Linked DNA regions of Caenorhabditis elegans. The protein of the gene in region 2 purifies or fractionates together with the protein of the main gene of each other region. This does not show direct contact. Each region holds a gene or a part of one and is shown on either strand. Other genes may lie near its edges.

Region 1 (2,897 bases), on a different chromosome or scaffold from region 2:
TTTCCGCGGTAGGCTGATTTCAAACTTTCAAGCAAAAGAAACGTATAATACTTTACAGCAATTCATTCCAACTAATCAAATTCTACCATCACTGTTCAACCCAGCTAGAAGAGCTCCTCAGCCAAGTTCATTCAATTTCATCCCATCTGCAAATGCAAGACATACCATCTATCGTCCACCGACTCCACTTGGATGGGGAAGAAAATGAATGTTTCTCTTGTTGGAGTTGGAACTAATAATAAAGATTATTGAGCATTTAGAAAGTGTTTGAATTATTCCAGTTTGCGAGAATCCTTGAAATAACCCAGCGAAACGAACAGCAATCATACTAAAGTACTCCAATAACCCAGTATTTGCTCAAAAAGTTGATAGTTACGATAGTTTTTAAGTAATCACAGAAGCCTCTCTTCGGACTAACCACAACAAAATATTACTCTTACAACAAGATGCTCACTCTTCTGAAACTACAGTAGAAAAGAGCACTTAGTTTTTCCAGGTTTTTTGGCGACCGAGTCTAGCAGAATTTGCAGATTACATTCCTGATCAAAAAGAGCAAGTAAAAACTTTTATTTCAAAAACCCCCAAGTATTCTTTCTACTGTGCTGGTGGAGCTGCAACTGGATCCTGGGCTGGTGGTGCAGTGGCGGCTGGGTCTTGTGCTGGAGCTCCAGATTGTCCCTTCTTGAACTCATAAGCTTCAATTCCGAGTTGTCCAACAGCGGCGAGCACGTGGATGAGCACGAAAAGTGAGAAGAATGCATGCCCAGAAACACACAAGAAGACGAAGATACCAGCAAGAGCTGGGACAAGAACCAATGCGGCAGACTTTCCACGAACTTCATTGTCAGACGAGGTAAGAACCTTGTTGATCTCCTCGCGACCATCAATGTTGAGAGCAATGTTGTGCGATGAGACGGCAACTGCTCCACCGAGGAAGATGAAGTAGAATAGCTTGGCAAGGAAATTGCAATCGCCGAGGGAACCGAACAGAACCATCAGGAGCTGCAAATATTTCATGATGTTCTATACATTCTGGAAAACGGGCAAAAGACCAAGAGCCAGGACAAGTCTTTAGAGGCCAGCCCTTAAAAACCAGGACCAGTCCTCCGAGGACCACGAACGGCACAGAACGAACCTCAAATGAAGCACACACGATGACGGCACCACGAGCGTAGAGCACGTACTTATTGAACTCGTACGGTGGGATTTGATCCATTGCAGAGAAGTAGTCGAGTGAGTAGAGAATCGGTGATTCGAGCAGAGACTGATTTGAATTACACATTTTCCGATCTTTTATACGGACGGATCTAGGGCAGATTGACCGTGGAGATAAAGAAAGGTCGAGGTTGAAGCGGAGAAAAAACAACCTTTATAAAAAAGTTTCTGGATGTTTTTTGGAATTATTTTTGAAATAAAGTAAAACATCACGGTCATCGAAAAAGAAATTAAAGAATTTCTAGTTCATCCGTTTCATGTAATTAAACAAGCTTTTTTAGTCACTTGAGGGAAGCCTTGTTCAATTATGAATATACCGATAACCGCGTGTTTTTAGCCAGCTGAATGCTTTCTAGTTGGCCTGGAGAATATATATAGGCCAAATCCAATAACGTTTGCGGAAAAAAAACATTTGAGAAAACCAAAACCTAATTTACCCTAATTTATAAAACCATAATTTATTTTGAAGTTAGTTTGCTGCAGGTGCGATAGCTTTACCATCCCTCACTCTGACTGCTTGACTTTTTGCACACATTAGAAAAAAAGGGGGTTAGGGTAGCTTTACCAAGGCGGCAAAGACAAAAATTGACATACTTGGTAAGCACTGAGTGTCTCTGCGATGCTTATATCCAGCGAGATAGATAGAAACATTATACAAAATCAATAGAATAGTCTTGAACAATGTAGAAAACCTAATTTAAAAATGAATGAGACTGATTTCATAGCCACAATGACTGAAAATAGAAAGACTCTTCCATTTTCAAGCACTTGCAAGTTGCAGGTAAGCTTATGGTCTGTTGTCACGTGACACCTAAGTTTTAATTGCCAAAAATAAATTCACAAAGATTCATTTACTAGTTTAATGACAGTTTCGTAGACAGATAAAACCGATCCAGTTCACAAAGAACCTATTTTCAGAATTTAGATAATTTTCACTTTTTCGAATTTTTGAAAATTCCCCGAAATTTTTTTAAATTTTGCTTTTTTTATAATTCTTGCAGTAATAGTTATGTTTTGATCATTTTCATATTATAGTGAATTTTCAACTCAAACGAATCACTTTGAAACAAGTTATTGTCAAAAAACTAAAATTGGATAGAATTATGGCCGGCACTGTAGAAGGCCTAGGGACTCTTGAAAATTTGTCAACCCCGCAGAAAACAATACTCTAAAAAAGTCCAAACATTCCATGTTCTCGCGCAGGAAAGTTGTTAATATAAATTATTCTTCACTAAAACCGATCATTTGTTTTGAGGGTGCTTTAGAGACGTTTTAAATATTTTTTAATTTACTGTCAAACAAGTACCCAATTTTTGCCACTAGGACTATCTATCCCTATGAATTGATCAAATTTTTTAAACGGGTAAATATAAATTTATTGAAAGTTATTTTTGATTTTTATTTCCAATATACAATTGTTATTACAACATTGGCAACTTGAAACAGAATAAGACACATTAGATCAGTTTTATCCAGAATTTTGAGCCAGAGCAACTGATTTTCATTAATGCGAGACATTTCTTGCAGAGTGTCACGAACAAGAAACGCAGTCTAAAATATATCAATTAATGTTCAAATCATGGTGGTTTACCTTATGTAATGACGACTTCAGAAGAGAAACAGGCGCAATGATGTTCTCGGGAACATCCATACTGGATACAGAACTGGTTTTAGAAGGGAAT
Region 2 (3,592 bases):
AGTGAAGAACTTGTTGATTTTATAAACAGCATAAATAGCAGCAGCAGAAGCAAAAATCAGTTTAGAGTGGGCACAAATAGACATTTTCAACCCTTGATACATGATTTGAATGTAGACGGAGGTGTCCTTTTCCTCTTTTTTGCCCTTCTCGTTATCTTATCTCTCGATCTTTTTTACACAAGTGTTAAATTAATGTCTTTCAATAGAGATCAAGAGGTCAAAATAACCGAAGAGATCAAGAAAACATTATTTCAGATCAAAGCTATTTAGGTATATATTTTGAAACAGATTTACGAGCTTTGAGCATTTTTGAGGTTAGCTGATATAACTATTAGAATGGAATGAAGTTTTCGAATTTCAACTAAAAATAGCTTCAAAACAAAAACTATTATTTGGGTCAGTGTATATCTTTAAAGATATGCAATTCGTATATACGCCTAAGCAATTGCTGAGCAAAATAATGCCATTCTCAAATTTTTTCTGACTTTATGTGAAGCCTCTTGTTATAAGTTGATTGTTTTATCGTTATCAAAGCTTTTGAAGATACAAATACTTATTGTTATAGACACTTTTATTTGGCTAAAGAAAAGGTAAGACAAGAAAAATTAACTAAAAATTGAAGTTAGATGGTGAAATCATTGGGGTACACTTCCTTGCGAACACTTTCGCAGTACTCAAGAATTTTTGGGAAATCCTTTTCCAGCACGTCGTTGATATGCGAACGAAGTGGGTAATACACGGATGCCAATTGTCCAAATACGGTTGCATCAGTCTAGAAAATTCCCAGGTAAAAAGGATACAACTATAAATTAACAAACCGGTGTGATCTTGTCTCCGAAAAGGAATTTCCCTTTGATAGAGTCTTGAATTACTTTGAGATCTCTATGAAGAAGCTCATCAAGCTCATGTGGCTCAAAATCTCCAATTGCCCCAACACAACGACTATAAACTTTGCTTCCAAACACAGCTTTGACCAGAGGAACCAATACGGCGTTGAATGCTGATGGTAAACCGAGAAGCCCGACAATGATCTCGTAAAACATGTCAACTGAGCTCTTGTAGCGGAGAAGTACACTGTAAAAAATGATTTCGAACTTATAAATTTCAATGAGATAATGAATTTTCTTCTGTTTCTAATCATCTTCAGAATTTAAATGTAAATACCTACTAGAAAAGATGATTATCTGCCATTCTGCTCAAAGCAACTGACTGCGCTTCTTGTTCGGTTGGGAGGCTCTGAAATATATATTTTTGCAAAATTAATTTTGAAAACATCTCGAATTACTTACTGGAATCTTAAAATGTTGTCTCAGGCGAATCTCAATGAGATCAGAGTCTGCAATGTGTTCCCCATTGAGCTCGATAAAAGGTAAAGTTCCATTTCTCGATCGAGCCATTGAACTCTCCACAATCTGAAATTTAAATTCAAAATTTGTTCAGCAAAAAAAGAAATAAACCTCATAAGGAATATTGTAGACTCTGCAAAGAATCTCAATTTTCATGCAGAATGGTGAAAGATTTGGGCAGTTTTTCAGTCTTTTGAATTGGTAAAGATAAACAGTATCTTTCTTGTAGTCGGTTTTGTGAATCTAAAAATATTTGTTCGTAAATTAAAAATTTTCAAAAAAAAAAAAGAAACTAACCGCCGGCTTTGGTTTAATTGTTGGTGGCGTGAAGAATTTCTTGTAAATGAAAAAAGCGATTGCACCAACCACTAGGGTTGTTGTCACTGGACAGCAACACACCATTCTGGAAAATAATTTTTCACGTTCAAAAGTAGAAAAAAATCAATAAATATAAGAGTTGCTATTATTTTACAAATTAAGACGTTAGTTGCGTTAATTAGAACTCAAAACTGACGAAAAAAAAAGGTAAGAAGAAATGAGTATCGACTCTATTTAATACTGCCATCTTGCAATGAGGGTAGAGTCTAGCCAGTGAACGTGTGTTTTGAGAGACATTAGACGGTTAGACACAATGTATTTTGTGGAAAAGAATATTGTCATGTTTGCTATCTTTACAATGTCTAAACAACTTGGAAAATAGATTTTATAGCGGACTTTGAAAAGTTTGAGTATTCGTTGAGCCACTTTTCATTTTATATTAAATTTTAAAGGAGAAACAGAAAAAGAAGGTAAAGGTATGTGGTTTGTAGTGAAGTTTGTGCTTAGTTTGGTTTAATTATCATTAGTTGATTTTTTGGTCAACCAACATCACTTCATTTGTTTTTCAATATTCGTACAAAAAACTATTATTTTGAGGAAATATAAGTTAAAGTTTGAACATTTTAGTTTTTTATTCTGTTGGTTTGCACTTTTACCTTTGCTTTCACAACAACTAGATAGCTTTTAAGATGCTGTTTTGTGAATTTCTCCGTATTTCTTCTACAAAGTTTTTGAATTCTAAAAATTATGCTAAAACCTGAAAAAATGTTTTAAGTAGCCAAGATATGCGGGAAAACTTCGAGAATTTCCAAATTTCTTTGCATACTTTAGAAAATTGAAAATTTGGACAAAAGCGAATAGTTTGCTTTGATAATTCCATAAGAAACATTTAAATTGTTGAAGATAATCTTTGATTTTTCAATCTTTGCCATCCACACTTGTTTGAGTAAACAATAGTGGAAATGATGACAAGGTTTCTTATCAATTTCAAAAATGGAAGAAGAAAATATATCACTTTTGGAGTTGCCTCCTCATTTGAAAATGAACATTTATTTTCATAAAACAAAAATTAAATTGTAAAATCATTTGGATATATTTCCTGACGAACTCGTTCACAATATTCCAGAATTTTTGGGAAATCATTTTCAAGGGCATCGTTGATACTGCACCGGAATGGATAAATCACCGACGCAATTTGACCAAATACAGCTGCATCTGCCTGAAATTTTATGAGATAAAAAATTGGGTTCTAATTGATTTCACAAACCGCTGTAACTTTATCTCCGAACAAAAACTTTTGATCTCCCAAATAATCTTGAATTGTTTGGAAATCTCTATGAAGAATATCATCCATTTCTTTTAATTCAAAATCTCCAATTGATCCTGTCGATCTCTGATAGACTTTCTTTCCAAATGAGGCTCGAATAAGTGGAAAGAGAAGTGGCTGAAGGAATTTTGGAATACCAATGCTTCTGACAAGAATATGGAAAAATTCATCTCCTATTATTTTGTAACGGATAAGCAAACTGTAACAAAAACCATTAAAAATCAGAGTATTTGAATAACTCACTTGAACAAATGATTATCTGCAAGTCTTGTCAAGGCTACAGAATGTGCTTCTTGAGCAGCTGGTAGAGACTGAAATTGAATTTTGTAGAAATATAGAATTTATTGTTATTCTCACTGGGATATTAAAATGCCTTCGAAGCCGCATTTCAATGAGATCAGTGTCCGCGATATGTTCTCCATTCAACTCAATAAATGGAATTGAACCGTTTCTTGACCAACGAAGCTTGTCATCACATATCTAACATTTTGGATGTAATTCAACAATTGAATAGCTTTCTTCTTACCTCATATGGAATGTTGTATGCTCTGCATAAAATTTCAACTTTTATGCAGAACGGGGACAAATTTGGACACTTTCG
Region 3 (5,449 bases), on a different chromosome or scaffold from region 2:
AATGAGACACTCTGACACCACGCACATTTACAATTAACCAAATCTCTTACAACTTCCACCACTTTGACCAAACTCTATTCCAGTCAAAGTCGCCCCATTGCAGCCGGGTATTGACGAACTTTAAACCCGACCATTTCAGTAAAAAGAAACATAATACACTTTTTGTCTTCTGTCTCTGTCCAATCGTAATTAGCAGTGCTAGTTGGCCCTGTATATCGTCCACCCAGTAGGCATTGATAAGGGAAATAGTGTATTGGAGGTATGGAGACGCAGAGACACGAGAGAGTTTTTGTTATCTTGTCAATGATTCCCGTGTCATTTACTGTCTCTAACACATCTCTTCTTCCCTCCTTCCATCTGTAGAGATTCTCAATCATTTTCTTTGTTCTTTATGTCCCTCAATTAGTAGTATTAGTACCATGTTATTTTCAGCACGTATCTATTTGTTAACTGTAGTCATCCTAGTTGTAGTGTACATCTGGGTTTTCCAGCTTGATCTCTTTTCAAAGAGAGACTTTCAAAACGGTACATGTCGTTCTGGTGTGCTTAAATTTCGAGGAAAACATTTTTAGTGTACTTTGGCACTACTTTCAAAGATGTACAAATTCTCGAAAAGCTGGTTTTGCAGACTTTAGGATTTGGCAAAAATTTTTAATTTAAATTTTTCTTTTAAAAAAAAGCTCACAGTATGTTTATATATCCCTTGAACCCTTGGAAAATAAACACATATATTTGTTGGAATAATTCTACATGCCCCCGAACAAATATTGGGAAAGTATTCAAAAAGTGGAAATATTTTCAGATCAACATTTTGGGGTGTCGGAGTTGAGTCTAAATTTTTGTGACAAACTAGTAGCTTTTTGTTAATAACATTTACAAGTGACGCGACTGAAAAAATCAAATTCAAAAAGTCAAAAATTGTTCAATTGTTAGTTTGTTTCATTGATTCATTGGATTACAAGACAGATACTTTAATTTTAAAATTTATTCTGGTTAAGTTTTTAATTTGACTTTTTGAATTTGGTTAGTTTACAATTTTCGATGATTTTTTTTTGTATCAAATATATGGGAATTTGAATTTTTTTTAATAATAAAGAACCGACATTTCAAAATTTAAAAATTCACAATAAAAATTTCAGATGAAAATAAATTCTTTATTTTCACTTCAACTGAACAAAAACTATTTTGAAAAACTGTACAACGTCGGTTTCAAGTTGAAAATTCAAATTGTTTTTTTGGCCAAAGTTGTATTTAAGTATTAATCTTCTAAATTTTAGAACAGATAACATAAATAATTTAATGAAAAAAATTCTTGAAATAAAATAATAAAACAATTCAAGTCTATCAATCTCCCTTCCTCTATAACTATGTATATTGTACCCTTAACATTTATCAAAAATTGTCAACTAACAAAATAATTCTTGCAATATTTTTTAAACTTTTTGGTTGACAACGTTTTCTATATCTCTCGCAATGTAGAGTTAAAACCAGTTATTTTCAGGAAATATGACCAACGAAACAGCCTTAACAGTGGCAGCCGCAATTCTTGGTTCCACTTATTTTTTGTATTGTAAACTGTTAAAAACCGCAAAATTATCACTTCCAAATGGGCTTTCTGTTGATAAGCAAGCTGTTGAAGTAAAGGTGAGTCTTATAAGAAGATAATGGGGAAAAACTTGTTCGGATTTTTTCAGACAATTAACTTTATCAGTTATCAACTGTCAATCTGAGTTAATGTGCATTTCATCCATTAAAAATCGCTGTAAAATGGAAGTTTTTGCAACTTTTCCCAGTTTTCGTTGGAAATTTTTAACAAAAAGGGGCGACGAAAAGTTAGACCATGCCATAAAAACCAAGGGCCTAATTTTGACTTAATAAACTTTTGAAAAAAAACGTTAAACAGACTAGAATTTTAACTAGTGACCTAACTTAATCTAAAATAGTAATATAATCCAAATAATATACAAATCTAAAATATAAATTTCCAATCGAGTCGGTCCTAGCGACCTAACAATTAATATATTCGGTAAAATTGACTTTGAGGATGGCCTAACTTTCCTAAAGTTCTGCTTAGTCGCTTTCAAGCATGGCCTAACCTTTAAAAAGGTCGGCCAGATAGTCTCCACCCATGGCCTAACTCTAACTTAAAGCACGTGACCAGTCACTCACTACCAAACGGTGCAATTACAGGGTCAACCAGGAGTATGGAAAAGTGCTCTAATGGAAAATGAGTCCGAAGACGTTCTCACTAGATTCTACCCAGAAGTCGCCACACTTCATGACGTCTTTGTCAAAGGAAAAACGGTTCGTCTTTTTTGGGACTTTTTTTTTGCTTTTTCGGGTGGTGTGATGTCCTTTTCTGTCCCGAACTTTGTCTTCTTATCTTATCAATGACGGGGAAGCGGTTGGCGGTGGTGAAAAAGGAGATACAAAGAACATCGTAAATTTTCGAATTCTTGGAAGTTCTAAGAGTACAGAATGTGACGAAAATTCAGAAATCAATGCAACAACAAAAACCTTTTGAATATTCCGTTAAAATTGTATAATTTGTATACTTTTAGGAAAGCAATGGCGGTCCATGTGTGGGTACCCGGTCATCTGGCGACGCAGATTACGAGTTCCTAACCTATGATGATGTTCATGAACAGGCGAAGAATTTATCAATGACATTAGTACATGAGTTTGGACTGACTCCAGGTTAGTGTGAATCAGAAGAAATTGCTGTGACAGAAATTGAAACTCGCGTTTCCTAAAAAAAGTTTCAGCCAACACCACCAACATCGGAATCTACGCTCGAAACTCACCACAATGGCTCGTCAGCGCCGTCGCGTGCGTCGAGCAGTCAATGGTAGTGGTTCCACTCTACGACACCCTTGGTGCAGAAGCCGCCACTTTTATCATTTCTCAAGCGGAAATCAGTGTGGTCATTGTGGATTCGTTCAAGAAAGCAGAGAGTTTGATCAAGAACAGAGAAAATATGCCAACGTTGAAGAATATCATTGTTATCGATAGTGCGGATGAGTTGAAGGATGGAACTGTAAGTGGGGCTAGGACCATATTATGGCTACACATTAGACTCTTTTATTGAGTAGCTTGCCACTAGATTACTGTCCATAGCATGATCTATATTACTATGAGGTTGCGGATGATATGAATCAATATAACCTAGTCAAAGGTGGCGCCGATAAACAAAATTTTTATGATAGTTTAGATTTATTTACATAACATTTTCAAATAATAAATATTTTTATAAAAATTATCTCCAACATGCTTTCAGGCCATCATCGACACCATCCGCGTCGAATCTCTCACAAACGCCTTGAACCTCGGATCCCGTTACCCATTCACCAATAACCTCCCAAAACCAGATGACAACTACATTATTTGCTATACGTCAGGAACCACTGGAACCCCGAAAGGAGTTATGCTGACCCACTCAAACATTGTCGCCAATATTAGCGGATTCTTGAAGATTCTATTTGCATTCCAACCGTCGATGATTGATGCGACGCAGGTCCACATCTCCTACCTCCCACTTTCCCATATGATGGAGCAGCTCACTCACTGGACACTTCTTGGGTTTGGATCTAAGATTGGTTACTTCCGTGGAAGCATTCAAGGCCTCACTGATGATATCAAGACACTGAAGCCTACTGTGTTCCCGGTTGTTCCACGACTTTTGAATCGACTCTATGATGCGATTACCGTAAGTCTTGTGTGTTAATTTTTGAAAAAAATGTACACGTTTAGAGCAAAGTCCAACAGCAAGGGTTTATGGCAAAACTGGTGTACAATTTTGCTTTTGCCCGCAAGCTCAGTCTCGTCAAAGCCGGAAAAGTCGGTCGTGACACTATCTGGGATCGTCTGGTGTTCAACAAAATCCAACAACAAATAGGAGGAAAAGTAGATCTCATGGTTACAGGATCCGCGCCAATCTCTTCCACCGTTCTTGAGACCTGCAGAGTCACACTTGGAACCACAATTGTCGAAGGGTACGGTCAGACCGAGTGCACCGCATTGGCAACGTTTACCTGGATGGGAGACCCGAGCACCGGGCATTGTGGGGCTCCGGCGCCATGTGCTTTGGTGAAGCTCGGGGATGTGCCGGATTTGAACTACTTTGCGAAGGATGGAAAAGGAGAGGTGAGCATTTATTAAAGAAAGGCAGTTTCATCCAAAATATTCAAAATTTTTCTAGATCCGAATCAAGGGACCATGTGTGACGAAAGGGTACTACAAGGATCCAGAGAGAACCGCCGAGTTGTTTGATGAAGAGGGATTCCTGCAAACCGGAGACATCGGAGAGATGCTTCCAAACGGAACTATTCGAATCATTGACCGAAAGAAGCACATTTTCAAACTGGCGCAGGGAGAATACGTGGCACCAGAAAAAATTGAGCAGGTCTACATTAGGACACCCGTTGTGCAACAGGTCTATGTCGATGGAGATAGCTTGGAAAGGTAACTTGGTTTTTCGTTAGATTTCTCAACATTGAGATAATGACTTCAGATGGCTCATCGCTGTTGTCGTGCCAGAACCCGATGTGCTTAAAGAATGGAATGATAAACAAGGATCCGGATCAAGAAAAATTGAAGAAATCTGCAATGACGAGAAGGCTAAGGAGTTCGTGCTCAGTGAGCTGCATGCAATTGGAAAAGCTAACAAGTTGAATTCTATCGAGCAAGTTAAAAAAGTGATCTTAACGTCTGACACGTTTACTGTCGAAAATGGACTTCTAACCCCAACGCTGAAAGCAAAACGACCACAATTGAGGCTGAAATATAAGGATGGCATGGCAAAAGTGTATAAGCAATTTCCAAATCTTTAAATGATTATTTTGATTCTAGTCTATGTATATTTTAGTACTTGGAATTTATTAATAAACCAAAAATAAGTAAAATCTTTGGAGGAGCAGAATATGAGTGAAAAATTGATATTCAGGTAACTAATACTATTATCATTAATTCAAAATACTAATTACAATTATGCAGTAACTGCGGAGACCAAGTTAGATTACGTTCTGGAATTCTTCAGAAACCGTTAAAAGTTGTACACATATTTTTAGGAAAGCTTGATTGTTTATTAAAGTAATATCCTTGACACGAATAGGTAAATTGCAATATATACATCAAAACTTGTAATATTTGATCCTGAGGTAATTGGTAAATGATTTGTTGACACGTCATCCTCTTCCACACATCGGCTCCCAAAAAAATGCAAATCGCAACGTGAATCCAACTCGATTAGATTACAGCACTCCAGCAACGTGTTGTTTTGCAATTGTGCGCTGGAGATTGTTCCCAAGCCACGGGGAGAGGAGAAAATTATCGAATTGTGCATTTGCAGGGTTTGGGAAATCTCAAAGAGATGCTGAGTGGATTCTAGGTGACAATTTTCTATGTGCAGATTTTTGATTTTCGAGTTCTTAGCTGCGGAGATATGGGATAT

The links.
Region 1: the proteins of cdr-6 (region 2) and F17E9.5 fractionate together in Caenorhabditis elegans (co-fractionation; one large-scale study listed by BioGRID). This does not show direct contact.
Region 3: the proteins of cdr-6 (region 2) and acs-5 fractionate together in Caenorhabditis elegans (co-fractionation; one large-scale study listed by BioGRID). This does not show direct contact.

Annotation. Positions count from the first base shown.
Region 1 is NC_003282.8:8,344,202-8,347,098, reverse strand, and holds F17E9.5 (DUF7087 domain-containing protein), read right to left. Parts: upstream 1,282-2,897; 5' UTR 1,217-1,281; coding exon 1,136-1,216; intron 1,003-1,135; coding exon 595-1,002; 3' UTR 553-594; downstream 1-552. Other genes in the region: F17E9.18 (Neuropeptide-Like Protein), read left to right, coding at 1-8, 59-208; lgc-5 (Neurotransmitter-gated ion-channel ligand-binding domain-containing protein), read right to left, coding at 2,614-2,766, 2,807-2,897.
Region 2 is NC_003283.11:12,411,951-12,415,542, forward strand, and holds cdr-6 (CaDmium Responsive), read right to left. Parts: upstream 1,752-3,592; 5' UTR 1,749-1,751; coding exon 1,644-1,748; intron 1,590-1,643; coding exon 1,458-1,589; intron 1,413-1,457; coding exon 1,290-1,412; intron 1,237-1,289; coding exon 1,169-1,236; intron 1,075-1,168; coding exon 819-1,074; intron 773-818; coding exon 623-772; 3' UTR 537-622; downstream 1-536. Other genes in the region: cdr-7 (CaDmium Responsive), read right to left, coding at 1-84; cdr-2 (CaDmium Responsive), read right to left, coding at 2,734-2,883, 2,932-3,190, 3,235-3,302, 3,349-3,471, 3,518-3,592.
Region 3 is NC_003281.10:13,539,587-13,545,035, reverse strand, and holds acs-5 (Long-chain-fatty-acid--CoA ligase), read left to right. Parts: upstream 1-1,501; 5' UTR 1,502-1,506; coding exon 1,507-1,644; intron 1,645-2,190; coding exon 2,191-2,304; intron 2,305-2,561; coding exon 2,562-2,697; intron 2,698-2,765; coding exon 2,766-3,037; intron 3,038-3,277; coding exon 3,278-3,706; intron 3,707-3,750; coding exon 3,751-4,143; intron 4,144-4,198; coding exon 4,199-4,461; intron 4,462-4,510; coding exon 4,511-4,829; 3' UTR 4,830-4,897; downstream 4,898-5,449. Other genes in the region: lron-13 (eLRR (extracellular Leucine-Rich Repeat) ONly), read right to left, coding at 5,084-5,449.